3 linked regions of the Tamandua tetradactyla genome follow. The main gene of each other region encodes a partner of the protein of the gene in region 3 in a complex. Links are inferred from orthologs where the notes say so. Each region holds a gene or a part of one and is shown on either strand. Other genes may lie near its edges.

What was found.
Region 1: the proteins of LCK (region 3) and CD8A are in contact, whole or in part, in an NMR structure (PDB 1Q69), measured with the Homo sapiens proteins. The link is inferred for Tamandua tetradactyla from reciprocal best matches to the Homo sapiens genes LCK and CD8A. Residues at the interface, in NP_001036236.1 of Homo sapiens: Cys20, Asn22, Cys23, Tyr25, Pro26, Ile27, Val28; in NP_001139345.1 of Homo sapiens: Arg212, Arg213, Val214, Cys215, Lys216, Cys217.
Region 2: the proteins of LCK (region 3) and CD4 are in contact, whole or in part, in an NMR structure (PDB 1Q68), measured with the Homo sapiens proteins. The link is inferred for Tamandua tetradactyla from reciprocal best matches to the Homo sapiens genes LCK and CD4. Residues at the interface, in NP_001036236.1 of Homo sapiens: Glu15, Ile17, Val19, Cys20, Asn22, Cys23, Tyr25, Pro26, Ile27, Val28; in NP_000607.1 of Homo sapiens: Ala429, Arg431, Ile435, Leu438, Leu439, Lys443, Thr444, Cys445, Gln446, Cys447.

The regions. Positions count from the first base shown.
Region 1 is NC_135343.1:60,258,294-60,268,868, reverse strand, and holds CD8A (T-cell surface glycoprotein CD8 alpha chain), read right to left. Parts: upstream 4,736-10,575; 5' UTR 4,511-4,735; coding exon 4,462-4,510; intron 4,374-4,461; coding exon 4,008-4,373; intron 3,467-4,007; coding exon 3,353-3,466; intron 3,183-3,352; coding exon 3,072-3,182; intron 2,513-3,071; coding exon 2,482-2,512; intron 582-2,481; coding exon 530-581; 3' UTR 301-529; downstream 1-300. UniProt on the Homo sapiens protein: Integral membrane glycoprotein that plays an essential role in the immune response and serves multiple functions in responses against both external and internal offenses. In T-cells, functions primarily as a coreceptor for MHC class I molecule:peptide complex.
Region 2 is NC_135333.1:69,078,806-69,088,467, reverse strand, and holds the start of CD4 (T-cell surface glycoprotein CD4), read right to left. Parts: upstream 4,230-9,662; 5' UTR 4,115-4,229; intron 3,776-4,114; 5' UTR 3,249-3,775; intron 1-3,248. UniProt on the Homo sapiens protein: Integral membrane glycoprotein that plays an essential role in the immune response and serves multiple functions in responses against both external and internal offenses.
Region 3 is NC_135328.1:193,640,861-193,650,737, forward strand, and holds the start of LCK (tyrosine-protein kinase Lck), read right to left. Parts: upstream 3,999-9,877; 5' UTR 3,845-3,998; intron 1-3,844. Other genes in the region: protein FAM167B, read right to left, coding at 5,995-6,225, 6,882-7,133. UniProt on the Homo sapiens protein: Non-receptor tyrosine-protein kinase that plays an essential role in the selection and maturation of developing T-cells in the thymus and in the function of mature T-cells. Plays a key role in T-cell antigen receptor (TCR)-linked signal transduction pathways.

The sequences.
Region 1 (10,575 bases), on a different chromosome or scaffold from region 3:
GGCGCTGACCGCCTTTTCCTCGTCACCTCCTGCTCTCTCAGGGCCCAGCAGGGGAGGCCTCGCGGGTGGCCAAGGACGCGCGCACCAGCGCCCTTGACACCAGCGCCTCCCGCATACGAGACCCCCACGGCGTGGGGCAGGCCAGGCTCCCGGCCCCGCCTGGCTGGAACGTGGACGGCCGCTGCGCGTCTCTGGCCTCCGCCTCTTTGTCCAGAAGGGGGCGGGGGGGCGCGGCCAGGCTCCAGCTGCTCCAATTTCCCCGGGCCCCCGCCCTGCCCCGCCGCGCCACCCCCGCCCCCACCCCCGCCCCGGGAGCCCGCCCTGCGCGGTGTGACCCAAGTGGCGCCCCTTAGGCCGCCTTCGCAGCATCTACCGAAACACAAAGGAAAAAGGATCCTCCCCACCCCACCCGAAAGTCACAGTCCTGAGGAGGAACCCAGGAAGGAAGACTGGAAGTACCCGAGGGAGGGCCGGGTGGCCCCGCTAGCTGGGAGATCCCTCGGCGCGCAGTGTCACGGCGGCCGCCATGTCAGATGCGCCTCTCTGCAGCTGCAGCCTTGGCTCCGGTTCTGGGCAGGGGCCTGCGGGAGGGGCGGGCGGCGTCCGGAGTAGGGATCCCAGAGCAGCCCTTATCCACCCCCACTGGCCCCAGCCTTTCCAAGGGTCCAAGGACTTGTCACGGGGCACCCCAAGCAGCAGGCCAATGACCTCTAGCTCTACCATCTCGTTGACCCTTGGAGCAGAATTAGGAGCAGGCGCCGGGCGAGAGGAGATAGAGACTTTCCCAGGCCACACGACCCGGAGATGGCTGAGCCGGCTCAGAACCAAGCTAGTCTAGCTTCTTGGAGCCTGTATCTTGGTCCCCAAGGAGGCGAGAGACCGCAGCCGATCACCCAAACCTCTTCTCGGCCCCAGGATCCCAGACGGTGGAGCACGGGAGCAAACCAACTCTGCCAAATAGAACTCCTTTATCTAAAGGGGCCCCTGACAACCCGAGCTGGCTGTTACAATAAAACGTGTTGATTCTGTACTTGGGCCAGGGCTCGCTGAAAGGGCTCAAGCTTTATGAGTCACATGTACACATACCATCCTCCAAAACCTCTTAGAGCTGAGCGGCCTCCATCACCACCGAGTCTAGGAACTCACATGTGTTAACCTGCATAGCTTGGCGTTTCATTTTGAAATTATTCACTTCGAAATGAGAGTTTTCAGGAAAGATAGAGATAAGGGACGATTCTCCCCCCAAAGCTTCCAATTGCACACCAAGTCATGAAAATGTGGAAATGCTAAAAATCCTCTCTAATTTTTAGAATCTTTATCCCTTAGGTATATCACCTATAACATGCTGGTTGATGATGCGTTACCTTTCCATTTTTTTAATTCATGATGTGTAAGACACTGAACTTGGATCCCTGCACAGAAATACCAGGGAGTGTGAAATGCAAACCTCATATATAAAAATTTAAATATTCTCACCCAAATATTTGCTGGTGAAAGTGACTGGGGAATATATAATCAGTTACTTGTGGCTTACTCCCTGCTCTGGCCCTCCACAAGCCCTGACTCAGGGAAGGAGTCTGAGTTTTGCCAGGAAGTTGCAGCTATGCTTCTTGCCGGTGGGATGGCTTTGGGCAAGTCACTAAATGTCCTAAGCCTCAGTTTCCTCATCTGCAAAATGGAGGCCATGGTAACACTTTTAAAGATTGCTATGAAACTTGACATTTAAATGCATGTAAGGCAAGCTACTCCTACACTGTAGTCTTCCACCCCATGGTAACTAGTACTGTTATTACTGATAATCTGTTGCTTTCCTCTTCCTGAGCCTGTGAGTTGGGAGATGGGAGCCCTGGGTGTCTACCCCACAGTTGCTGTGAGGATCAGCCCCCATTACAGTGCTAGGAGGCTCCCAATAGGGCTGCCTCCTGCCCGGAGCCAGAGGAGAAAGGAGGCTGAGGCCTTTCTTCAGATTGGTTGGTGGATTGGTTTTCCTCATCATTTCAGAATGTCTGGGGGCTGAAATTGTATGAGGTGTTTACTTGAGCTGCCAGGCACAAGAAAATAAGGGACCAAGACCCTTGTTTACTGAGCTCAGAGATAAGTGATTGCTCTTCCTCAAAACACCAGACTGCCAGCCAAGAGGGGAAAAAAAAAAAAGATTTTTCTTAAGAGAACAGCAAAATCCAGGTGGAATCATCCACATAAGGAATACTCAGGTACTCAGGTGCTATGGTAAATTGGGGGAGAGGGGGCCCTCAATTTTTTTTTTCACTCTAGTCCAAAAAAGGTGGAGGTTTACTGAAGTCAGACTGCTCTCCCCACCAGCTCCTCTCTGTCTAGGATCCATACTCCCTGCTTGACTTCTTTGAACATGGCTGCTATAGCAGCCTTCTAGGGAAGGTCCCTATCCTCTGCTGCTCCTGAAGCCAGGACCACACCCACCACTGCCTGGGCCAGCGGGTGGAGGACATATAAGAAACTCACCTGGGACACTTGCAAACTCGTCTTCTGTTCCCTTGATAAGAAACAAAAAGGAAAAAAAAAGTGACTTTCCCTCCCCAATAGTTCCCAAATACAGTTTCTCCTATTCCTTTGAGGATCACAACTCTTGAGCGCCCAGGTGACGGTTTATTTTCCATCCCTCTTCCCAGGCATCCATGTGTTTTTCTAGCATTGCAAACACAGGTGTGGGTGAACTGAGTCTGTGCCAGGAGTTGGTGCAGTCATAGGCATGGGACCCAAAGCAGGAGTCATGGTGGGGGAGGGCATAGAGAAGCACCAAGGGCACACTTGAAACCTATTGTGGTTGACCCAGCCCTTTTGGGGCCCTGGTCCCAGGGCCACCGCTGCCCCTCCCCGGCAGATGTTTGTAATCCACCGTGCCCTGTAGCGTCCTCAATGCGGCCTTCTCAGGTGGATGGGCCCCCTACTGCCACCGATCCCGGAATGGGCCGCTAGTCCTCCTTCCTAGAAGCTTCCCTGAGAATGACTCTTTCCACCCAGCTTGGAAGTCCCGTGGCTCAGTGGCTACGAATGGGCCCAAACACCCTTCGCTGTGACTCCCCAGGACTCACTGTGGCTGCAGATAGCGGTGACAATTAGCGACAGCAGAAGGACCACGCAGAACCCAGCCAGAGGCGCCCAGATGTAGAGGTCACAGGCGAAGTCCAGTCCCTTGGTGGCCACTGGGGACACCAGACGCACCGACGTTTCAGGAATGGGTCGGGACTCCCCACCCTGGGCAGCCACACCGGGGCACCACTCCGGCTCCGGGGCGCGGGATCCTGAGCCCTGCCCCAGCCCTCTGCTCTACCCGGCGATCAGAGCTGCCTGGTGCCCCGCATGCTTTCCTCACCTGGGCCGCCTGCTCCGGGCCGGCATGTCTCCGGGCGCGGGGTCGCCGACTGCAGCGCGTTGGTGGGCGCGGGCGTAGGCAGGCGCAACGCAGGTGTCGTGGGAGTGGGCTTCTCTGCGGGAGCCACAGCGCGGGGTTGCAGGCCAGCCCCAGCAAACGAACACGCCCCTTCCCCACCCTGCACCCCTTGATCCAAGGAGGCGCCGCCCCCCAGTTTTCCAACCTGGAAGCAACAGAGCGCCACCCGCGAGAGGGGGGCGGGTGAAGCGGGCTGGACGCGGGGACTGGGGTCACCCGCCCCCCGATTCGTGCTGACCCCTTCGCCGCGGGGCACCCTAGCCCCCTGCGAACCTCTTCACCGCCCCTCTCCAGGTCTCAACCAGCAGCCCGAGGAGCTTGGGTTGCTATCCTCATGTTACGGCCTCACAAACGGAGGTGGCCCCGGTGGCGGAGGGGGAGGTTAAGAAACTCGCCCAGGAGGAAACAGCCCCTCGAATTCGAGCCCATATGGACCGGGCAACCAAAGTCAACTCCAGTTCCTGCCCGGCTGCCTCTGAGTCCCAGTTTCCTCGACGGGGAAGGGGAAGCAGTATCAAAAGGAGCCCTGCGCCCCACGCGGACAACTGCTGCGCCCAGCGCGCGCATCACCCCGAACCTGGCAGGAAGACCGGCACGAAGGGGCTGAAGTAGATCATCAAGTTGCTCAGCACCGCGCAGAAGTAGTAGCCTTGGTCCTCCTCTCGGAAGGGGCGTAGGGTGAGGGTGAAGAGAGAATCCCGGACCCTCTTGCCCGAGAACCGGCTGCTGTCCAGCCCTGGGGCCATTTTCGTGCGGGTTTGCGTGATGTACATAAGGAAGCTGGGGCTGGCAGGGTCGCCGCGCCGCTGGAAGAGCCACGAGCAGCTCGACGCCGCGGAAGACAGCAGCACCTCGCACTGCAGCTCCACGGGCTCGCCCGGGTGCCCGCGGACCTCCCGCGGCGATACCCGGAACGCTCTCGACTCAGAGGCCGCCGCGGTATCTGCAGACGTCGGGCAGCGCGGCTGAGCCCGGAGTCCCGCGCACCCCTCCTCCCCATCCCCTTCCCCTCTCCGGGGTCGCACACTTACGGAGCAGCACGGCCAGCGGCAGGAGCAGGGCGGTCACCGGCCAAGCCATGGCGCGCTCCTCCGGAGCGCAGGGGAGGCGAAGGGGCCGCTCGGGAGCCGGCCCAGCAGGGAGAGGGAAGTCGCGTGCTGGGGCCGGCCGCTGGGCCCGATTTCGCTTGCGAAGGATATGATGTCACCCAAAGCCCCCGCCAAGACAGTCGTAGTGCTTTTCGTGGTTGTCACCTTCCGGACCGGCAACGGGGCTGGGCACGGCCAACGAGGGCCTGGCCGTCGAGGCAGCCTTGCCAGGCAGCCGGGGACATTGATAGCTGCGGGTTAGGGGATGAGGAAAAGGGCCTGGAAACGGCTCCTTTAGGGGGAGCTACAGACGCGACACAGAGGCTAGTGAGGGATTTAGGAGAGGGGGATTCCACTCCCTTTGCCTTCAGGCAAGATGGCCCTCTCAACTTGAGGCTTTTTGTTTGCAAAACTGGCACTGAGGGCTGAGAAGGAAGAGAAATTAGTGACCTGCCCGCTTCTCTGGAACTTGCGCAAGTTACTCTTGCGTACACTGAGGAAAGGCCTTCTCACTCCTTGGGGGTCCCTCCTAGCAATCTGGCCCCTGCCTCTTGCCCCTGTTTTCTGGGTAGCGATTGCTGCAGCCTCATAGGGCTGGAGATTATCTGACGACTGTACCGGCCTGTGCTTTCTGGACTTGCACTTGTTCCAATGTCTGGCTTGCATTCAGGGTTAAGCCCGGAGGCCAGCCTTGGTGCTCTGGCTGGACCTTAGTGGTCTCCTTACCCCCTGCTCTGGGTGCTCAACAGGTACATGGGCGCTGGTTAAGGCTTGGGTGGAGCTGGTTTTCCTGCTCCTGGTCCTGGTAGGTACACACAGCCCATTCCTTCCTCTTCACCTGTTGCTGCCCCAACAAGAGCCCCAGTGTTGTGCCCTCCCCCCTTCCCTTTAGAGCTCCCTGGCTTCCCTCTTTGGACCCTGTGCTGGGTGCAGGGCATGTTACTGCTGCCTGGTTCCATGTGCCTGCCCCACCAGTGAGGGCGGTGGCTCAGACATGGGGGTGGCTCCCCCACCCCCATGTCACCTCACAGCATGGTCTGTGCTGTTTGCTGACTGGGTCCAAACTCAAATGTTGGTGGGATGTTTTTTACCATTATTATTACTTTGATTTCAATGTTCTCCTTCCTCAAGGCATTCAAGGTGCTTACTCTAATATAGAGCATAGAACATTTTATATTTAGAAATGCTTTTGAAAGTGTTGTTGTTTTTTTTTTTCTAAACACAAAAGTAATCCCTTCTTGAGAAACTTCAGGCAATACGAAAATGAATAGAAGGAAAGCCCCAGGGCTCATCTCGTCACCATCTTCCACTCTCCAGAGCAAAACACTGTTACAGCCGAGTGTACCCCGTGCCTACCCTGTGCCTATCCATTGCTTTAGAAACGTGGGGCTATACTATGCATATATTGTTCCTAGTTAGCAGTAGAAGAAGGAGAGCAAAGTTTCGTGTTGGCACATGTGGATCTATACCACTATTTTAAATGGATGTTCTATAGTTTAGTACCCCTGATGATTGACGTTTAGGTAGGGAGGCTGCAGTAGATACAAGGCACCTGTGCAATTAAAGCCTTGTGCCAGGTCATGTAGCATTTATTCTCCATCTCTGTAATGTCTCTGACAATGTAGACACAGTGTTGTTCCTAAACTCACATGAATGAGAAGGGCAAGTGAACAACCAGGTCCAGACAGGCCAACAGCGTGACCATCATCAGTTTAGATGGCAGTTTCCCATTTTGCAGTCTCTGCTCCCACAGCAGACAGTACCTGCTCCGGCTGGTCACAGGACATGAGAACAAGGGTGAAATGACCAGACTCTAAAGGACATTGTGCTCAGCAGGGGTGGGGGGGGGGGTCTTAGAAGGGCACCAGAGTCAACCTCCTGATGTTGGAATCTTGGAGACCAGTTCCCTAAGTATGATGATGGCCAGATTTCTGGTGTGAAATGCTTGAAAATAGAGTACTCCCATCTAAGTCTTCTGGAAACGGGCTGCAACTGGCTCAGGAGCCTTCCAGCCTTGCAGCTACGCAAAGTGTGGGCTGGGGAGGGTGGGAGCCCATTGTACAGAGCACCACAGAGTGGGGGAGGGGAATGCCAAGGCAACATGTCAAACCCACCCAGAAGGCTTCTTGACCCCAATGATATTTTTCACAGAACAATGGTGGATTCTCAATGTAACCACAGCGACATCCGCCCTCCAGCACCCAGGAGAGCAGATGCAATTGCTTGGGTTCTGGGGATGCTTGCTTGCTCTAAGGCCAGGTGTGCAGAGGACTGGGCTGGGCCTGCCCATCCACTGCCAGTTAAGCTTCCAAACCCCATGCTGTGGCACTCACACGAGTGGTATGAGGAGACAGAAACAGCCACACTCCATCAAGCCAGCCTCTTATTTTTAAAAACATCCTGACAGAGACAGGGTGACAGGTTACCAGCCTCTATGCTGAATTTAAGCAGGTCTTTGTTTTTCTTAAGATGTTTGCTTTTTTGAAACTTAAAAAAATAACTTTAATTTACTTTAATTAAAGACATACTCAGAATGCATAACCGGGCAGTGGAAGGAAATTAATCAGGGCTCAGGGCCAGGGCTCCACAGAGGTGGCCTAGAGCACAACCTGAGGCCGTGGGGCTAGGGCCTCCTGCCAATTCAGGTCTGGGCAGAGTTCTTCCTGGAAGGACTTGGCTTCCTTGAGGCCAGAAAGGCCTGTGAAACTCTAGAATCATCAGGGTCTTGCTTTATCTCAATCACAATTCCATTTCATTTGTGACACCCCCACTTTGCTCTATCTCCAGGACCACCAAGCTCATTGAGACTGTGTTTGCAATGGTCTCATGACTACTTGTCCCGTTTCTATTCTGGTTCCCTCCAGCACTTCCTCCACAAACAATATCTTTTTTTTTGTAATTATTATTATTTTTTAGTTATACAAGTTGTAGGTTTACAGAAAAGCCATGTAAAAAATACAGTGTTCCCATATATTCCCCTACTGTTAGTTAGTGTGGTACCTTTTTTAACTAAAAGAATATTCAAACTGTACTATTAACTATTGTCCATAATTTATGTTAGGTGTATTTTTTTTCATATACCGCCCTATATCTTGTGCTAGTAACATACATTTGCTGTAGTCCATGAAAGAACATTCTTATACTTGTACTATTAACTATAGTCTATTATATACAATAGAGTTCACTGTGTTGTACAGTCCTATGTTTTATCTTTTAATTTTTACTCTCAGCAAACTCATAGAGTCAGATTTTAGAATATAGACATATATGACCCAAAATTTCACCTTTTAACCACATTCACATATGTAATTCAATGTTGCTAATTACACTCACAATATTGTGCTACCATCACCCCATACATTTCCAAAACTTTACAATCAACCTAAATAGAAATTCCGTCCAATTTCCCCATTTTCTACCCCCATCGAGTTGCTTTTAACCTATATTCTAGATTCTGACTCCATGAGTTTGCTTACTCTATTTATTTCATATCAGTGAGATCATCCAATGTTTGTCCTCTTGTGTCTGAATTATTTCACTCAACATAATGTCCTCAAGGTTCATCCATATTGTAACATGCATCAAAATTTCATTCTGATTCCTATTCATTTGAATGATGAATAATATTCCATTGTATGTAGGACACATTTTGTTTACCCATTAGTCAATTGACGGACACTTGGGTTGCTTCCATCTTTTTGGCAATTGTGAATAATGCTGCTATGAGCATAGGTGTGCAAATATCTGTACATGTCTCTGCTTTCAGATTTTCTGGGTATGTACCTAGTAGTGGGATTACTGGGTCATATGGTAATTCAATACTTAGCTATCTGAGGCACTGCCAAACTGTCTTTCACAGAGACTTCACCATTTTACGTTCCCACCAGCAATGAATGAATGTTTTTATTTCTCCACATCCTCTCCAATACTTGTAACTTTGGTTTTCTTTTTTAATAGTAGCCTTTCTACTGCGTGTGAAATGGTATCTCATTGTAGTTTGATTTGCATTTCACTGATAGCTGGTGATGTTGAGTATTTTCATGTGGTTTTTGGTATATCCTCTTTGGGGAAATCTCTTTTCAAGTCTTTTACCCATTTTTAAATTGAGTTGTCTTTTTTTTTTAATTTATTTATTAATTAAAAAAATTTGACAAATGAAATGAAATAAAACATTAACATAGATAATCAGTAATTCACAATATCATCACTTAGTTGCATATTTATCATTTCTTAGAACATTTGCATCCAGTCAGAAAAAGAAATAAAAAGACAATAGAAAAGAAATAACACGAAAACAGAAAAAAAGAAAGGTTATACCTACCATACCCCTTACCCCTTGATTTCACCGATCACTAGCATTTCAAACTAAATTTATTTTAACATTTGTTCCCCCTATTTATTTTTATTCCATATGTTCTACTCATTTGTTGACAAGGTAGATAAAAGGAGCATCAGACACAAGGTGTTCACAATCACACAGTCACATTGTGAGAGCTATATCATTATTCAATCATCTTCAATGAGTTGTCTTTTTATTGTTGAGTTGTAGTATTTCTTTATATCTTATGGATATTCCCATTTGGTAGGTTATCTTTTCATTTTAGTGATAAACTTTTGATGACCAAAAGTTTTGAATTTTGATGAGGTCCCATTTATCTACTTTTTATTTTGTTGCTTGTACTTTGGTCATATTCTAAGATGCCTAAAACAAGATTCTGAAGATACTTCCCTACATTTTCTTTTAGGGCTCTTTTATTGTCCTGGTTCCTATATTTAGGACTTTGATCCATTTTGAGTTAACTTTTGTATACGGTGTGAGATAAGGTTTTTCCATTGTTCTTTTGTGTATGGATATCCGGTTCTCCCAGCACCATTTGTTGAAGAGATTATTCTCTCTCAATTGGGCAGGCTGGGCAGCCTTGTCAAAAATCAATTGGCTATAGATGTGAGGATCTATTTCTGAACTTTCTCTTTGATTCCTTTGGTCTATATACCTATCCTTGTGCCAGTACCATACTGTTTTGACCTCTATGGCTTTGTAATAGGCTTTAAAGTCAGAAGATATGAGTCCTTCAACTTTGTTCTTCTTTTTCAATGTTTTTGGCTATTCAGGGTTCCTTACCCATCCAAATACATTTGATCATTGTTTTTTCCATTTCTGCAAATTAAGCTTTTGGAATTTAGGTTAGGATTGCATTGACTCTGTAAATCATTTTAGGTAGAATTGACATCTTAATGATATTTAGTCTTCCAATCCATGAACATGGTATGTTCTTTCATTTATTTAGATCTCCTTTGAATTTTTTTTAGCTATGTTTTGCAGTTTTCTGTGTAAAAGTCCTTTACATCCTTGGCTAAATTAATTCCAAGATATTTTATTCTTTTAGTTGCTATTGTAGATGGAATTCTTTTTCTTGATTTCCTCCTCATATTGCTCATTACTAGTGTATTGAAACACTATTGATTTTTGCATGCTGATCTTGTACCCCACTACTTTGCCATATTCGTTTATTTGCTCTAGCAACTTTGTTTGTAGATTATTTGGGACTTTTTATATGTAGGATCATGTCGTAGGGAAATAGTGAAAGATTTACTTCTTCCTTTCCAATTTGGATGCTTTTATTTATTTTTCTTGCCTAATTTCTCTGGCTAAAACTTCCAGCGTAATGTTGAATAACAGTGGTGACAGTGGGCATCCTTGTCTCATTCCAGATCTTAGAGGGAAAGCTTTCAGCCTTTCATCATTGAGTGTGATGTTGGTTGTGGATTTTTTCATATATGTCCTTTATCATGTTGAGGAACCTTCCTTCTGTTTCTATTTTTTAACTATTTTTATCAAGAAAGGATGCTGGATTTTGTCACATGCTTCTTCTTCATCGAGATGATCATTTTTTAATGTGGTGTACAACATTAATTGATTTTCTTATGTTGAATCACCATTGCATACCTGGAATAAAACCCACTTCATTACAGTGTATCTTTTAATATGCTGTTGGATTTGGTAGTATTTTGTTGAGGTTTTTGCATGTATATTCATAAAAGAAATTGTTTTGTAAC
Region 2 (9,662 bases), on a different chromosome or scaffold from region 3:
TGCTTGCTTCGGTGCCTGGGGCTTCCGCTGCCACCCCAGAGAGCTGGCCTTTGATTCCCACATCCTCAGTCTCCTCGGAGGCATCCGCCCCAGCACAGTAGCATCCTGTGTACCCGAGCCCCAGCAAGAGAGGTTGGGAGGGCTGCCTGTGTCCCTCGTTGTGCCGGTGTTTCTCCCCCTCTCTGCTTGTTTCTTGGCTCACATTTGGATTGTGCCTCCCCACAGCAATGCCTTGTGTTCACCTCCTCTGTCTGTGTGCCTCTCTCTGGGGTTTTTGTGCCGGGAGGCAATTCTGACTCTCCTGATATTGCTTGGAGAACCCCTTGCCTCCTCTCCTTTCTCATCTTTTCCCTCTCCAGCTGCCACTAAGCTGTAGCCCCTTCCTGCCTGTAAACAGGCATCCTGTCCTCTGGCAGGAAGGCAAGCTCTCCACAGCTTTGATCTGAGAGCCCCCCAAAAGAGAGTCCCCTAGAGCTGGGCCTGGAGCCCAGAGGTGAATGCCAGAGATGATCGCTCAATGCGGGGGACACAGGCGGACAAAGGGAAAAGGATAGAAACTGGGAGAAACACACAGATAGAAACCCCACAGGAGGATGAGAGAGAAAGAAGGAAGGAGGGACCCAGAACAGCTCATTAAAGCAACAGCTACACCTTGCGCGACCCACAATCACACACAAAGCCAAGGACAGTACAAGAAGATGGAAGCAGAGGGAAAGAAAGGAAGAATTTCCGAGAGCCAAGACATATGCACAGAGCACTAGACCAAAAGGGAGACAGCCCCACAAGCAGATGAGACCAAAATGGCAACACTCCCGCACTCTCTCAGAGCCTGTGAGCCTCCTGCCGCCCTCAGCCCTGGGCTCCGGGGCTGGGATAAGGAGCGAGGCTGGGGGGAGGAAGAGGGCACAGCCCCACCGCAGTGACAGTCTGTGGTCCCACAGGCACTTTTATCTTCTCCCCATAGTCCCCGCTCAGCCCCCTCAAGCCTACCACGGGATGTGCTCTCAGACACACACACACACACACACACACCCTGCCTATGCTTACAGTCTTCATTTAGACTTTCTAGAGACCATGACCCCTCTAAGGGGTCCCTTGTGGTTCGGTGGCTGCAACCTCCACCATCCTCTCTCTGCCTCAGACGCCCACATGGGGGGAACTGTGCCCTCCCTCCTTCCCTTATCCCCCTATCTCTGAGTACAGAGAGAGCTCAGCCTTACAGCCTTTCAAACCCAGGACCCACCTAGACCCTCCCAGCACCCAGGTATCTGCTCCCCCACCCTCATCACACTTATTCATTCAACAAACATTTACTGAGTGTCTCAAATGTGCGAGATCCTCGGCCTACCTGCCTCATCCCAGCGCTGCCTCACCAGGAGAATGGCCTAAGGCTCTCAAAGCTTCTGCCTAGAAACAGTTGGAGGGGGCAGTTTTTATGAGATAGAGCCCTTCTACATTAAGTGTCCCAAATTGAAAGGGGGAAATCACCTCCTGAGTATCTCTCTCTCTGTCCTCTGGGAGCTCTTTCCTCTGAGGGTAAGAGGGCGGCCATTTTATATGAGGCTACAGAATCTAATACAGCACAAGAGATTAGGTGTCAAAAGGTGAAATATTCATGATCTCCACCACTGTGTTCTGCTCTTAGCCAACACCCCTGAAAATTGACCCCAAAAGAGTAGGCTGTTCAGGAAGAGCTATTCCACCCGGAATGAGACCCTTGAATTAGGGAGAATGGAGCTTCCGTATTTTGATGGATCAGACTGTACCCTAGCCGGTTTTCTCTCTCAGAAATAGTCTATGAAGGGAAGGCCAAGGAAACTTGGGGAAGGGCAGGGCTCTGAGACCATGGAGGTGTGAGAAGGGAGAGGCCTAAGCGTGTGGAGGCAGGGGCTGCAGTTTTACAGGACATCCCGGTGTGGAGACATCGCATCCTGCTTCACCCCCCCGGCCCCACCAAGTCCTAGGAGGCAAATCCTCTCATCTTCTCCCCAAGGCCCCGCTCAGCCCCCTCGAGCCCAGCAGCAGCGGGATGTGCCCTCAGACACACACACACACACACACACACACACACACCCCTCGCGCTTGCAGGCTTCATGGAGACTTCCTAGAGTCCAAGACCACTTCTCCAGACCTCCTTTCCCAGAGCAGGCCAAGGCGCCTAAAGCCCATTCTCTTAGAAATAATTTCTCTAACAACTTATTTGCCTAAAAATTCATATCTGTCACTTTTGCAACATTTCATACATACACGTTCAGTTTCGTTTTGGCTTTCTCATTTTATTAATCACTTTTAAAGCCAATTAAAGTGGAAGGGACTTTCTACAAATTGTTAAAAAAAAAATCCTTAAAAAATGCACAGGTATAGAAAAAAATTTTAAAGACGCATAAACAGAAAAGAGAGTTAAAAAGAGGCTCTATCGATTGTGTGGCTTATGAAATGCTGCAGGCATGATTTCTGGTGTGGATTTTTTGGTGATTGCGTCACCAGGCAAACTGACTTGGGGAGAACACCTCTAGACTAAATCCTACTTCCTTCTTTTCATCTTGCTTTTATCCTTGTCTGTTCTTTTCTTTTTTATAGGCATCCTCCCTCCTTAATATTTATTCATTCTTTCTATTATTTCCCACCCCTTCTTCCCTTTTTTTCTCTTTTCCCCTCGTTAAATAAAATAAGATGGCCCCTTGCATTGGGCTTGCTGGAAGGACCCCTTTCCAAGAAAGGATCTTCCAGAAGACAAAAACAAATGAACTCAGGGGCTCTTCAAGAAGCTGGAAGGCACCTCCGACAATATTGCAATTAAGCCACATTTGCTCCAGCTTCCCTGGTTCGAGGTCTTCCCTGCTGGAGGAGTTCCTCCTTCAACAAACTTGCCACTTTGATTATGCTGGTGACTGTTTCTTTTGACACCGTCACCCAATCTTCATCTCCTCCAGGGCCCATGGGAAGTTGCCTTCCCATGATTAAGTTCCCCACACTTCTCTGAGCTTGCAAAAGCCACCATCCTCTCCTGAGCAGGTCTCACCCCAGTCACAGAGGTGTGCACCGTGGGGATGAGACAAACTTGGTATAGTTCCTGTCCTCTGGAAGCCCATAGTCCCAGTGGGAGATAGCAACTATATGACCAGATGTGTGAGAAGTTAGAGGGCGGCCAGAGCTATAGGGAGAGAGTGAGAGTCCAGCACATTCCAGAGTATTCGGCATTGGGTTCCCCTTCCCAGCCTCAGTGAGAGAAAGTCTGTCCATCTTACCTCTGGGCCTGTGTCTTCGGTCCCTCTGCTTCTCACACAGCGTGTCTATGGGAGGACTGGGAACTCTGCAGCCAGGAGTCTAGTGGGCAGAGGGCTCTGCTCCTTCTGCAGAGATGTGCTTAAATGAAGAGAAACAGGAAGCCAGCTCCTCCACACCCCAGGCCTGGGCCAGCCCCCAACGTCACCATCTGGGGCTGGGGTCCCCACCCCCTGGTTCTTGGGGAAGATGTCAAAGCGAAAATGCCATAGTCAAGGGAAAAAGTTAAGCAGAGCCAGGCTGGAGCCCAGAGCGTCTCTGCCTCTGTTGGGTGGCAAGAAAAAGATCTTAGCAATGATACTGCCATCTGGCCTAGGCTTTGGGGGAAAGAAGTGGGAGGCAGGTGGGTGACCTCTGAGAACAGCTGTGGAGAATCCCCCAAGACAGCGCCCGGCTCCAGAGCCACAAGGGTATTTGTCCAGTAGGTACCTCTGGGGGTCCAAGTATAGGTGTCCAATGTGGCAGCAAGGGCAAGGGGTGAGTGGAGGACCTGTGGAATGCGTAGGTTCAGAGTGGCCGACGACTGTACCTTCTCCTCTGAGCCTCAGGCTCTGGCCAGCCCTGAAATGTTTATCGCTAGCCTGATCTCTCAAGACCTTCTGGGATGATATCCCCTACCCTCTGGACATTTCCACTTAGGCATTCCTCAGACAAAGTAAATCCAGTATCTTTGTACTACCACCCTCCAAATCCACTTCCCTTCAGATTTCCCACTCAGTTAGGGCTTCAACATCCACCCATTGCTCAAGCCAAATAAACTGGGTGTAATCCTTGACTCCTGCACCCAATCCTTCCTACGTATTTATTTACCAATCCCTGTGGACATTACCTTCTATATAGTTCTGAAATCTATCCAGGTCACTCTACTCCACTGCCACCACTCCAATGCAATGCGCCATCATCATTCTGTCCTGAACTACAGCTGTTGTCTGGGGCTGGGCCCCCTGCTCCTCCATTCTGCCTTCCTCCAGGCCATACTTTGCAAGGCAACCTGAGAAACATTTAAAGATGTAAATACGGTTGTGTCATTCCCCTGCTAAAACTCTTCAAAGCTGACACATTGTTGATGAGAGTGTACATTAATACAACCTCTATGTCAATCAATACATATCAAAATTTAAAATATACAGACCTTTTGACCCCAGCATTTCCACTCCCAGCAATTTACATCATCAATGTACTTTCTATATGGAAAATGACATATGAACAAGTATTTTCATTGCAGCACTGTTAGTAACAGCAAACAATTGGAAACAACCTAAATCCACAAGGGACTGATTAAATAAATTATGGTGGATCCATACCATAAATTTTTATGCAATCATTTTTTTAAAATGAGGAAACTCTTTAAGTACTGATAAGGAACAATATTCAAAAGAGATTGTCAAGTGGAAAGTGTAAGTGCTACATTTTTCCCATTTGTGTTTAAGAAAAAAAGGAAAAAAGAAAGTAGCATATGTATACATGCTTAGGTATGGTAGACTCCTCTGGATGTATACATAAACGGAAATTTTGCTTCCAAAAAGGACTCTGGCCTTTGTCCAGGATCCTGGAGGCTAACCTCTAAACGCTTGTAAGTTCTTAAATGCTAGGAAAGTCTTTGCTAACCGCCATCCCCACCCCATACCTGAGAATTTATACTAATGATATGATTCAGGGCAGAGCCAGCCCCACAAGCAGTCTTAGGGTGGCGGCTGCCCAACTGTAGGCTAGAAAGACCAAACCTGTGAGTAGAGAGTTGGACTTTTGAGCCACTTAATATCAGCCCCACCTTTGCTAAGGCACTGCAGGGCTGGAGCTTGAGTTCAACCACTTGGGTAAAAATGCAATCAATCATACTTACATAAGAAAATTCCAATAAAAACTCTGAATGTGTAAGCTCAGGTGAACTCCCTGATGGGTAATACACATCAACATGCCCCAAGAGTGAAGCATCCAGACTCCATGGGGAAATGACATGGAAGCTTTGGATTTGAGACCTTCCCAGACCTTGCCCTGTGTGTCTCTTCTTTTGGCTCCTTCTTATTCCTATCCCAGAGAATTCCTGGAGCCTGCCCATGCCAAAATAATAGTAATAATAATAAAGGGCGGGCCACGGTGGCTCAGCAGGTAAGAGTGCTTGCCTGCCATGCCCAAGGACCCGGGTTCGATTCCCGGTGCCTGCCCATGTTAAAAAAATAAAAATAAAATAATAATAATAATAATAATAAAGTAACTGTAAGTATAATAGATCCCCAGGTTCTATGAGTCATTCTAGTGAATTATTAAAACTAAGGAAGTGGTGGGAACTCCCAAATTTGTAGCCAATTGTGTCAGACGTGCAGAGTCCTGGAACTTCGGAACTCGTGGCTAGTGTCTGAAGTGAGGACAGTCTTGTCCTTAACCTGTGAACTTGACATAACTACAGATAGAGTCTGACTTGCATTGTAAAAAAGAAACTGTTGAGATATATATTTTCATAATTAAAAAAAAAGTGACTAAAGAGACAAAGAAAATTAAATGCAACCCATTACCCTGGATTGAAACTAATAATAGAGGCAAAAAAGACCCAAGAGGACGTTATTGGGACATATGGAAAAATATAGACTGTAAGCATTATATCAGTGTTAAGTTTCTTGAACTTGATAATAGTACTTAAGGTGGTTACATAAGTGAATGTCCTTGTTATAAAGAAACATACATAGAGATATTAAGTGTTTGTCATGGTCAGGTTCATGTGTCAACTTGACTGAAAGGTGGACCTGTTTGTCTGGTTGGGCAAGTGCTGGCCTGTGTGTTGCAATGAGGACATTTCATAGAATTAAATCATGATCACATCAGCTGCATCCTCAGGTGATTCCATTTGTAATCAGCCAAAGGGGAGTGTCTTCTGCAATGAGTAATGCTCACTCTAATCACTGGAAAGCCTTTTAAGGAGGATTCAGAAGAGACAGGCTCTCTTCCTGCTTCGGCCGGTGATCCTCTACTGTGGAGTTCGTCCAGACCCTCCATCGAAATCATCAGCTTCACAGCCTGCCCTGCAGATTTTGGACTCCGCATTCCTGCAATCACGTGAGACACTTTTATGAATTTTATATTTGCAAATATTTCCTGTTGATTCTGTTTCTCTAGAGAACCCTAACTAATATAGTGTTCCAGGAGCATGATGTATACAACCTATTCTCAAATGTTTACAAAATAGATCAAAGGTGGACAGGTAGGTAAATGATAGATATAGGTGATAGATAGTTAGATAGAGACAGACAGACAGATAGGTATGTAACCAAGAAATTAGGATTTAAGGGCTGATTTTGCTTACTGAATCATTATATAGATTTTTTTTTTTGCTTTCTGGTATATCGGAGTAGACAGAGGGAAATACCTGAAATCTCTGAATTGCAATCTGGCTGTCTTGATCTCTGATGATGATCTTTATCTTCTGCCCTTGTGATTATAAAAACCTTGTGACTGACCTTCATTTATACCCATTTAACCAGTTTTTCAACTTTAGATTCTTGTGATCACTAAAGGCAGTCCCTAATGTTTATTAATGAAGGGTCTTGGGTCAGCCCAGCACTAACCCACCCCAAAGTTAAATTGAGAATCGAGACTGGATTTAACCAAAATGAGCCTGCCTGACATGCACGGTAGCTTAGACATTAACCTACAAGTTACCTATACCTCATTATAATATTAAAAATCATGCCCACCATTGCGTTAAGGCAGCTATTTTCCTACATGTATTCTGGGACTAAGCTTGTAATCAATTTGTGCCTATTCAATAACTAGATCACCTCTAATTACATCAGGTGGGGCCACTGTGTTCATAATCCTAAACCCTGCCCATCTTTTTCTCTAATAAAACTATCAGAATTACTGCAGTTTGGGGAGACTAGATTTTGGACCAATAGGCCATCTGCTCTCCTGCTACATGCCTAGTAATAAACTTTTTTTCTCTCTTTGAAACCCCAGTGTCTCAGGAATTGGTCATTTGAGCACATCAGGCAAAAGAATCCACCACCCTTGTCAGGTAACAGGTAGAAAAAAGAAAGAAAGAGAGGTAGGTAGGTAGAATGATATGCCAAACGTGGCAAAATGTTGAAAGTTAGATCTTTGTATCTAGGTGGGAGTATGCTGGAGTTCTCTGTAAGGATTTTGTATTATTTGTGCAACTATCCTGTAAGTATGAAATTACTTCAAAATAAAAAGTAAAAAAAGAAGAAGAAAGAAAGAAAAAGCAGATAATAAAAAAGTATTGGCAAAGTTCCTTGAGGGATGGGAGAAAAAATATGGAACTATTAAACTTTACCACAAGGGAAACTCCTGATACTGGTCAAACATTAGGGACACCCAAATCAATAGGCCAAGGACTTGATTTTGAGGCTTTCTCTTGTGAAGCTTATGTAAGAAGCAGAGAAGCTTAGCCTACCTATAGGTATGCCTAAGAGTTACTTCTGGAGGACCTCTGTTGTTGCTCAGATGTGGCCTCACTCTAAGCCCAACTCTGCAAGTGAAATCATTGCCCTTCTCCCTACATGAGACATGAAATCCAGGGGTGAAAATCTCCCTGGCGGTGTGGAACATGACTCACAGAGAAGAGACTGGCCCTGGCACCGTGGAATCAACAATATCATCCTGATCAAAAGGGGGAAAGAAGTGTAGCAAATAAGGTAACGGTGGCTGAGAGAGATTGAATGGAGCCGAGAGGTTACTCTGTAGGTCACTCTTATGCAAGCTTCAATTAGACATTGTTACTTATCAAACTTGCCAAACCCCAACCAAAACCATTTCAGCTAATCCTAAAGAACATCTAGGGCAATATATAAGATTCTACAAAGGTTCCATGCACTGGGGTAACTTTCCAGAAACCTACAACCTCCAGATGGGTCCCTGGACCAGATAAGCCTAGAACCTAGAGGGCTCAGACCCTCCAGAACGTCAGCTGGTTCCATCCCCCTACCCCATATTAGTGACAACCCTTCCAACATGAAAACGTTAGGATGGCCATAGCCCAAATACCCCTAAAGAGTGGGAGAAAGATCATAGGTGATGGTGGAATTACACAGAGAAGGTAGGGTTTAACAAACTAATATGATTACTGAATCATTATATTGATATTTCTTTTAGTCTCTAGTATCTTAAAGCAGCTAGAAGCAAAAACCTAAAATAGGAGAACCCATACTAAACTCTGAAATCTGTTCAACTAATTGTTGCACTGTGCTTTGAAATTTATTGCTTTTTTGTATATATGCTATCTTTAACAAAAACAAAAAACAAAAAAAAAAGGTCAATTGTGATGATAAAAAAGCATTTATTCCTTCAAGCCTCCAATGTTCTGGAGCAGCTAGATTGAAAAAATCTGAGATAATGGTATGACATTAACCCATGACAAACTCTGGAATCTGTCCTGCAACTACTTGTTGAAAAGTGCTTTGAAAACCATTGCTTTTTTCTTTCTTTGCTTTGTAAATATGTTATACTATGCAATAAAAAAAAGTTTGAAAGAAACTGGCAAGAGGGGTAGCCTCAGAGGAAGGGAACTGGCAGACTGAGGAAGTAGGGTGGGAGATATAACCCACCGTGCCTTTGAAATTTGGTACCACATGCTTGTATTACCTAGTAACAGCCTAGGGAAAAAAATAATAAATGAAATCTTCAATGGCCTCCCATTTCTTCTGGATGAAGACCTAAACCCTTAACCTGGCCTAGGGCCTTATGCGACATGGCTCCTCTAACCCTCACCAGCAGAGCCAGTGGAGTCACCCTCCACCTCAGCCACCCTGCTCCAGCCACTCTGGGCTTTCAGTCCCTCGAAGGCACTGAGCGCCTCCCACCCTAGGGTCTATGGATAAGTTATTTCTTTGCCTGGGAGAAACCTCTGTCCTTCTCCTACTCCCTACCTGTGATCTAGAGCAATGGTTTTCAAGGTTTGTTCTCTGGACCTTCTACATTCCTAAAAATTATTGAGGACCCCTCCCCTGCCAAGAGATTTATTTTTTTAATTGAAACTGGAAAAGTTTTAGATTTTAAAATAATAATAAACCTATTGTAAGTTAATCGGAAAAACATTTTTTTAAAAAAAACTATATTTTCCAAAGCAAAATTTATTAAAAAGCGTGACATCTTACCTTTTTTAAAAAACTCTTTAATATTTGCTTTAATAAGATAGCTGGATCCTTATTGTTTTAGGGAAAGACTATGAAGAAAAGCCGATCTCACACAGACAGGCTGTTGGAATAGAAGAAAACATCTTAATAGGCTTTTCAGATCCTCGTGGATATTCTTCTTTGATAGTATGCTAAAATTAGAGAAATGTTAGCTTTTTAAAAGTTAGTTGCAGTATAGAATCGGAAACTGTAACTCACCTTTGTACTCCATTACATTAAAATCCGTTGATC
Region 3 (9,877 bases):
CTGTGATAGAGGCGGGCACTGCTCTCGCAGGTCACTCCCTTTTCTTAGGAAACCATATAGCCTGTCGTCAGCTCGCTGATGGGTGCTGTCTGTGACTCCCAGCAACACTGTCAATGCAAAACAGTTCCACTTGCCTGGTAGCAGCATCTCAAATTCACCACCATTACCCATTCGCAAGCTAAGAGGTAGCTAAATCCATTAAAACGATGAAGTAGAGCTCCATATGTTGTCGTGGAAAAAGAGTCCACAGATAACATGGCAAGCAAGTTGCAGAACCAAATGTAGAAAATAGGCCTATTTGCATTTAAATACGTATATATGGGGAATTCCTTTACACCAGCTCCTGTGCTAAACCTCTATTTGCATGATTTCGTGTAATTCTCACAATAATCTTATGAGGTAAGTGCTACCATTATTCCCATTCTACAGATATAAAAACTGAGCACCCCCCCCCCCAAAAAATGTACAGGGTTACTGTTTGGAAGATGGAAATGTTTTGGTAATGGATAATGGTGATGGTAGCACAACATTGTGAAAGCAATTAACAGCACAGTAATATATGTTTGAATGTGATTAAAAGGGGGAATGTTAGATTGTACATATGGTAATAGAATAGAATTTTTTTTAAAGAATCCATGAAACTACACTACTCAAACATCAAATCCTAAGTTCAACCGGGGACTTTAGTTAATAGCACAATTATAAAAATGTACTTTCATCTACTGTAACAAATTTTTCACACCAGTGCACGGGGTTAATAATAGGCTGTATGTGGGAATCTTGTATTGTATGTATGCTCGTTCTGCTAACTCACAACTTTTCTAATAAAGAAAAAATAATAATTGAAAAAAAAAAAGGAAATTTAAGACCCAAAGAGGGTAAGGAGTCTGAGGCCTCACAACAAACAAGTGGTGGACCTGTGAGCTGAACCTCGGTCTGCTCTGCCTTCCTCCACTGTGCAGGCTCTTAACCGCTGTGCTCTTAAGCAGCCATATGTGGAAAAGTCTAGAAGAATGCACACCAAATTGCTGAAAGCGAGCACATTCCAGAAGTGGACCAGAGGGGACACATTTCTTCTATTTTTTATATGTCTCTGTACTTTTTGAATTTTTAAAAACACCCATGTGCTAATTCTGTAAATGAAAAACGAACAGAAAAACAACAAAACCGCTACTAATGGAAAAACTCTACCAAGAGATGCCATCATTTGAGGAAGACCGACTGCGCAGCCCGTCTTCTCTCCGCCATACCCATCTCAAGAGGTGCAGCCCGTGGAAAAGGTCACTACGTAAAAAGGTTCTGCGGCCAAGGAAATTTGGGAAACCGCACTAGACTAAATTAATCAGATTTCTTTTCTTGGGGGATACTTTCAACGCTCTAACGCTCTGACATTGGTTGTGAAACAGAGGGACAGAGTTTGTAACTGAAGCCATGTGTACCTGGCCCCAGAGCCCTTTCCTTTCCAGGTGCCTCATGGAACTAATGTTCTACGGAAAAAGCTTGGGAAATGCAGCGCCGTGTACTTTAACCGTGCAGTTTGTTGTTAGAGGCGCCGGCCCCGGATGGTATCTTGGTCCTGCCTGTGTCCACCCCCACCCATCTCCCCTGAGAATTGCGTTTGCTGAGTTGAACCTGACCTTGAAGCCATCGGCTTGTGGGTGTGGGGATTGATTTTTACCAGTGCGGGTGTGTTGTGTGTGTAGCCTCTGCTTCTGCCTCTGAGTATACATGCACACATGTCCTCATGATGATATCCAGCCTGTTTCGGACAGGGAGGCCATGTTGTGGGACCCCCCTCTGAGGTAGACTCCTGACCTCAGAGGTAGCCCAGAATCCAGCCAGCCTGAGTTCTCACACCCACTATACACAGGAAACAACAAGTTCATATGCAAAGCTACACCACAAGGGTTGAGGGAATGGGTGGCTCACTGGCCTGACAAGGTGCTGAGTGGGTACAATTCTGGGCGAGGGCAGCCTTCCCTCTGCTGCAGCGTATGCATGGGGAGGGAGCACCGAACTTTCGTTAAGCACCTTCTACGTGGCAGGTATTAACCAGGGCATGTCACGGTCATTATTTTCTCTTTGATTCCCCACAAGCACTCAGTAAGGGAGGGCTTTATCATTGCCTCGGGTAAGGAAACTGAAATACAGGGGGTGAAGCCACTCGTCCAAGGAAATGGCAAAACCGGAATTGTACCTAGGTCGGCCTGAATCTAACACGCGTGCCCCTTGCACTACGCGACACCTTTGGCTCTCTTACCTTTGGTCTCTACCCTCATGGTACTCAAGGAACAGCGAGAGCCCAGGGATGGTGATTCTGGCTTCACGTCCCAAGCTCTCTCCAAAATGGGTTTTTGCTCTTCTTAAAACTGCCCTAATTCTTCCAGGAAGCCCTCTAGATCCCCCTGAGAGAAGCCTTCTCGCCTCTGAACCCTCGGTCCTTTCTCTGTCCCTATCTACGGAGCCCTTCCTCCCTTTGGGAAAAGCCTCTGTCCCTGAGCCCCAAAGATGAGGGAGAGATGAGGGCCACTGTCTGATTCATCTATTAGCACAGGAAAGGAAGGGACTGCTCATGTCAGTCAGCCAGGGGGTGGAGGAGTCCCCCTGCAGCACCAATGAGCCAACACATTTCCAGCCCCCACAGGCCTCGGACCTGGGGACAGAGGAAAGGCTGGGACGTGCTGACTAGGCGGAAATTGTGTGTTAAGAAAAACTCCAGTGGCGGAGGACATGGCAGGGGAACCTGGGATGTTTGGTTGAGGTAGGGGACTCCCCCACTAAACTGAAGGCTCAGAAGTAGAATGTGAGCGGGTGGGCGGGTAGCTGACTATGCCTTCCTGGGCCTCCACTTCCCTAGGCTGGAAGGAGGACTCGGAGGGCCTAGCTGGCCTGCATACAGCGGCCGCTTGAGGGCTGAAGCAGGAGGGAACAAGAGGAGTGAAGAGGACATTCTGCAACTCTTGGCTGAGGCAGGAGTGGCAACTCTCCAGAGAGAAGTTCAGAGTTCCTTGCCCACAGCCAACTGCACCCTGTCCAGGATAAAAATAACCCTTCCTCTCCTTTTCTCCCATCATCCTCTCCCCCTCCAACTTCCCAGAGTCAGAGCAGATACTTTCACCCTGGAGAGTCTAATCCAGATCATAAATATCCCCTTATGTAGCCATCCATTCCTATAGGGCGACCCCTCCCTCTCTCAAGTAATGCTGGTCACTGAAGATAAAATTGCTGCTCATGCCTCCATGCGGATGCCCTGGGTGGTTCCTCTCAGGAGATTATGGTCACTAGATCTGCCACAGGACACAGAAGATTCCTGGGTCCCCTGGACTCAAACCTGTCCATCACTCTACTCCAGGGAGGGTGGTGTGGGGGTCTCGATCTAGGCCATTATGCTCCCCCAGTGAAGCCAGAGCACTGCGTTCCCATCGTGGCCCGGCCACTGCCTTGCTGAGGCACCGTGGGGAATGAGCATCTTGCCTGATCAGAGTCTCAGGAGCCTCCTAAGTCAAATAAGGAACTGTAGTTGATGATTACTGAAGGCCTTTTAAATATCTGACATTCCATGTATCAGCTCTCTAAGAAACAGTGAGGCAAGGACTGATGGTGGATAGTGTGGCAGAGGCAAGAGCCACCCACTATGCAGGAAAGAGGTGAACCAGTCGCCCTCCATGCCTTCCACCTGACCACCAGCAAGCTTTCTCTGTCCCCCAGCCTGAAGGGCTGTTGCCTACCCTGGGACGCCTGACCCCATGCTCAGCTGCAGGCTCATTGCTGTCATCCCCAACCACGCCACAGCCCCTAGACCCCTGTTCCCAGTTCCCCTTACCCTGTTCCCAGTTCCCCTTACCTGCCCAGCCCGGGAGCCTTCCGGCCCATTCACATGGTCCTCCTGGCCCGGCCCGGCTGCCCAGTCTTGGTCTCAGCTCCCCTCGCCGTCGTAGCCTCTGCCTACCTCTTCGCGCCCACGTCCCACGCTGACTTCCTGCCTCCTCCTGAGGACTCCGCAGCCAACCCGGCCCCAGCAGCCCAACCACAAGCCTTCAACACCCCAAGCTTCCTGCTGCCATAGCCCCCCGCCCCTCAGCCCCTGGGGGTCCCATACATCTCCAGGGGCAGGCCCGACTTACCCGAGGGTGAGCACTTAGAAGATGAATGTTGGATGGAACCTCATGTCCTGGCCCGCAGGGTGCTCCTGGACAGCCCTTGAGCCCAACGAGCAGGGACAAGCAAGGAGCAAGCAGACACAGGCTCAGCTTACAGGGAAAGGCAGGTAGCACCACTGTTGCTGTCTGACGGCTTCAAAGTCAGCAGAAAGGACAGCACCTCTGTTCAATAGTTGGAGATTTAAACAACACCCATGCACAGTCAGACAGCAGCTCACTGGGTTGCTACAATCGGTAGGTAGAGCAATAGTCATGTTGTCTCAGGGGACAGGACAAGTGCTTTATTAAAGTCAGAGGCTAGGCTAAAACCCCTCTTATAGACAAAATCCTGGACAACCCGGTTTCAGGAAGCTGGCAGGTCAACACTGCATCTTCAGAAGGGCAGAGTAACAGACCCTACGAATTATGGGCAGGGCGATACGTACTAATTATGGTTGGAAAGTGAGGCGACACTTCTAATTCAGGGAGAGGCAAGGCCACAGCCCCTGGGAGAGATGCAGAGTCTGCCAGCATCTGCAACAGGTGGAAGGCAGAACAAACTCTGCTGCCCAGGCACCCAGGTGCAGGCAGCAGACTGGTGGAACTTCCTGCTATAGGCAGGATCCTTGTCATGAGCAGCAGGCAAACCAAGGACCTCCCTTTTGCCTGGGGCCAGTCTGACGGTGGCATTTGTCATGGGCAGAGGGCCAGGAACCAGGAATCTGAAGAACTCCAGGTGAACTCTGGCAGGCCCAAGAGTTGGGCCTTGACCCCACCCAAGGAAAGTGTGAATGCATCACCATCATGGCCTGAGCCCTGAGCAAGCTGGGGGAGGGGAACCCACAGAGTATTGTTGGGGTTTGTGAAATGGAAGCTGATTCTGTGTGCACCTCAGCTGTGAAGGTGGGAGGGGGGCAGGAAATGGGTGGGGGGAAGAGGAAGCCTGAGTTGAAAAGCCAGACAAAGAGAGTAACACAGAAACAAAGGCAGAGAGATGTAAAGTAAAAAACTTACAGAGCGCACATTGCTCAGAGCCAGGGCTCCAGGTCTGCGGCAGGGCACAAGGTCCTGCTCACCTTGCTGTGCCATCCTGAGCATCTCACCGTCCTTCTCTGGGCCATTAGCACTATTGTACTAATGCTACTGGGTGACAGTAATGACCAGTAATAGAAAGCTCACATTTATTAAGTGTTTACTGTGAATTATCTCACTTAAGCCATTTCTGACTACCTTGGAGTGAGAATTAGTATCTCAATTTTAGAAGTAAAAAAACAGATTCGGAGGTTGAGGGACCTCCTCAAGGTCTAATTGAAATAAATGGGGGAACTGACTTTGAACCCAGGTCTACCACATCCTGCATTCTACACCTTTCCAGTTTTTCCAGGTGCGGGTGACTTGGGATTTTAAATTACTTCCCAGTTCTGAGCTTGAGTTTCTGGCAAAGAAGCTGAGAGATAAGACAGAGAACTAGAACGGGACCTTCTGGTGGGGATGGGATTCCTCACTACCAAACAGGCCTTCTCCCCTGCAGGAATCACTGGTCCCAGCGACAGATCACAGACACTTGCACTTCACATGAGTAAATGACTACAGAGACTTTGTTGGAAATTAGAGAGGGTGTTTATTGAGAAGCCGGGGGTGGGGTGGGGGGTGGAGTGGGTTCTCCAGGTAGGGGTGGGGTAGGGGGTGGAGAGGGCACTACCTGGACATGACAGGATGCCTGAGCATTGTACTCTCAGAACTTCTGAGAGCTGAACCCTCCCTCACCCTCACCCGCTGTCAGGTGCTGGGGCCTCTGGGGCACCCTGCTCTTCTTCCTTCCTAGGCGGGCTGGGGAAAGGGCAGCGGTTGGCCCTCAGCAGAGGGTGAAGCGACGGGCACTGATGTTCATGCGTGTGAGGCCGAGGTGACGCAGTGGTGGGGCCAACGCTAGGCCGGCCCCTGGCTCCAGCTCCATGTCCAGCTCGGCCTCGTCCAGCAGCTCCTGGTGCAGGTGACAGGCCTGGTCCACCTTCAGCCGGTGCAGCTGAGCCCGCAGTCGCAGGAGCTGCCCAGCCAGATGCCGGTCCTGAGCCTGCATCTCCCGCTGCAACCAAGAGGGGACGTGAGCCTTGGCTGGACTAGTTCCGGCCCTCACGCCAGTTATCCCTTCCTGTCAACACTCTGGGCCTTTGTGCTGGTTGTGTCAGTCCCAGCTTCCTCTCGCCCCAGCCTGATCCCTCCCCATTTCAGATCTGGCTCCACCAGTGATTCTCAAACTTAGCTAGGGAGCTATTGTTAAACAAATACAGATGCCTGGGGTGCCCTCCTGGATCAGCCAACATAATCTCCAGGTTGAAGCCTGGGCATCTTTACATTGCAACATGTTGGGTTGAGAACCACCTGTTCAATACTACGCTCCTCGGATTTCTGCCTACAGCTTAGTCACTGCCTGCTTTTATACTTCAGTGTATCTTCGGGATACAGCAATTCCCAGAGTATCTTCTCCCACCCATAACTGGTGCCCTTCTCAAGAGCAGGACGATAGGAGCATATAGTTGATTGGAGCAGATACTTTTTCAGCAGAGCTCCCTAAACAAAACACAGGACAAATCTATTCCTTGCTTCTTAGGCCCAGGACAGAGTCACAGGAATAAGCAGCTGCTGGGGGGTAGAGTCCTTTCTTACTCCCTCCCCACACCCTTGGTCTTGGGCCCTAAGCAGGACTGGCCTCTGAAAGGCGCCCCACCCCACCAGACTCACCAGCTCCCGACGAAGCCACTCAAGAGCAGAGTCCACTGAGTCAAAGCCGCAGAGGGCTCCAGATCCCCCCGGCCCGGGCTTGGCTTGGACCCTGTGCCAGACCTGGCTCTGGACCCGGGCCGTCCACTCCAGGTAGGAGGGCCTCCGTGTCTGGAGCTGCAGCTTGGCCGTTAGTGCCTTCACAGAGTCCAGGCTCTCCTCCTTTTCATCCTCTTTGCCGACTGGCTGGAATTTCTGTGGCCCCAAGGACATGGGAGCTTTGGGATAGGCTAGGGAAGGGCTGGCAATATTGCCCAGGGAGAGGTGGCAGAAGCTGGGGGTGAAAGGAGTATGCCAGGGTGTTTGTGAAGGTCCAAGGTGGGCCTGGGGGGCTGAGTGTGACAGCGTGGGTGAACAGATGGGTGTAGGAGGCCGAGTCTGCAAGGGCTGGGATTTTCCTGAACTGCTCACCCAGGGAGCCACGTGATGCCCATCCTGGAGGCGGCAGGAGGAGCCCAGCTCCTCTGACCCCTTGGATGAATTTTATTGTTTTTGCCCAAAAGGAGACACCCAGTTCCCAGAAAGGAAGTTGCTCCAGGATAAGGAAAGCATCATCCGCAACAGAATGTTGGCTCTCCTCCCAAGCCCCACGTTAAGGAGCGGGTAGCGGAGAGAAGGCTGCCCAGCTGCCCCTGTCCTCCTTCATGACACTGGCCTTTCGGCAAAGGAATAGTGTCCCGAATCCTGGCCTGGGAGTCAGGACACCATGGTTCTGGGGCTGACTCTGTAGGACCTCGGACAACTCACTGACATTCTCTGGGTCTCAGTTGGGGCAGATCAATGACTTCAAATTATACTCTGAGGAGCCTTAGGGTTCCTTGGAAATTCCTTAGGGCAGAGGGAAGGGCAGAGTTGTGGTTGGTTTCTTAGCCCCCTCACAGGACTTCAACCAGATAGTTTCCTTTTTTAAAACTTTGTGTTGAAATATTTGAAATTTAACATACACGCAGAAAAATGCACATAACTACACACCTTGAGAAATTCTCATAAACTGACCACACCTATGTAACCAGTACCCAGATGAAGCCATAGTATCACCTGCACCCTGGAATTCCTTCTTTGGGCTCCTGGCCCCTCACTATTCACCTAAAGGTAACTGCTGCCCTAATTTCTGACTACATAGGATTAAACTCTGATATAAGAATTATACCCATTTTTATATTTCTGGCAGTTCTCAAACTTTATCATGCACCAGAATTACTTGGAGGGCTTTTGAAATAGATTGTTGGATTTGCACACCGATGTTCATACTGGCATTATTCACAATTGCTATAAGATGGATAAATAAAATGTGGTAAAAACATACAATGGAATACTACTCAGCATTAAAAATAAATGAAGTTCTGATACATGTGACAACATAGATGAATCTTGAAGGCGTTTTTCTACTTAAATAAGCCAGACACAAATACTGTATGATCTCACTGATATAATTAGAATAAGCAAATTCATAGAGTTGGAAACTAGATAATCTGTATCCTAGGGGTTGGGGTTGGGGTAAGGAATGGAAAGTTAATGATTAACTGGTACATAGTTTCTGTTTGGGGTGATGGAAAAAAGTTTTGGTAATGGATGATGGCGATAGTAGCACAACACCGTGACTGCAATCACCACTGAATTACATATTTGAATGTAGTTAAAAGGGGACATTTTAAGTTGTGTATATGTTAGCGGAATAGTGCTGTTGTTTAAGGACTGTACTACACAGTGAACCCTAATGTAAACTATGGTCTATAGCTAATATAGTTAACTTATAATAATATTCTTTCATCAATTATAACAAAGGTACCACACTAATATAAAGTATTTATGATAGGGAAGAGTGTATGTGAATGGGGTATATGGGAACTCTGTATTTTCTGCATGATATTTCTGTAAGCATCCCACTTCTCTAATATTAGGGGAAAAACAACAACAAACAACTATAAACAACAACCATCCCCCAAATTTCTTATTCAGTACGACTGGGGTGAGGCCTGATACTTTGCTTTTCTAATAAATTCCCAAGTGCTGGTGCTGGTCTGGACTTCATAATTTGTATTATTTTGTATCTGTTTTTATCCATACCACAATTCCAATTTTATATTTATTTTATGGGGGTCTACCTATGATTTCATTTTTTCATTTAAAAGAAAGATTTTGCCAAAAAAAGGAAAAAAGGTCTGAAACTAGAGAACCAAAAGGTCTGTTATAAGCAGGAGTCGGTCTTATTCTTCTTAGTAATTAAGCATCTGACAGAGAGTAGGCATCAGTGTTTACGGAATAAAAGAATAATTGGATGGATGAATGGATGGATGGGTCTTCCATTAAGTGGGTTTAACCTGGTAATTGACCATTGTGAGTCTGTCTCTTGCCAAACTGAAATCCTACCATCAGAACTTCCTCCGCCCTGGGTTCCCAGCACCTAACACAGGACCCAGCAACGCAGAGGGCAATACACACTTGGTGAAAGGATGGAGTGATAGTGGATGGCACTCTCGAGGGCAGAAATCTGCCCAAAGTGGCCCCCGTAGAGGGCGCCCTCCCGCAGGGCCTTCCAGCTGTGGAAGGGGAGGGGCGCTAGCTGCACAGCTGCTTGCATTTAAGGTAGACCAAGGGACTTCCCCCACCCAAGCCTCAGATGTATGGGGGGAAAAAAAGGCAATTCCCCGTTTCACACCCACTCTTTCCTGACCTCTTATCAGAGTACAGAGGAAGAAGTGGTTATTTTTCTTTCTTTTTAAAGTCAGCGATATTGTCAGGACTCCAGGGTTTAAAAAATAAAAATACTGAGTGCTTCCTGCGACCCAGGCACTGGAGTAAGAGCTTTAGGCAAGATTATTCTCCCCATTTCACAGATGAGGTAATCGAGGTTCCCATAATAGGCGGACAATAGGAAGGGGAAAATTCTTGTGCGATTCCTTCCTCCGAGGGGCCTCCTTAACAGCTGTCTTGCCGGCGTCGCCAGCTGCCCAGCC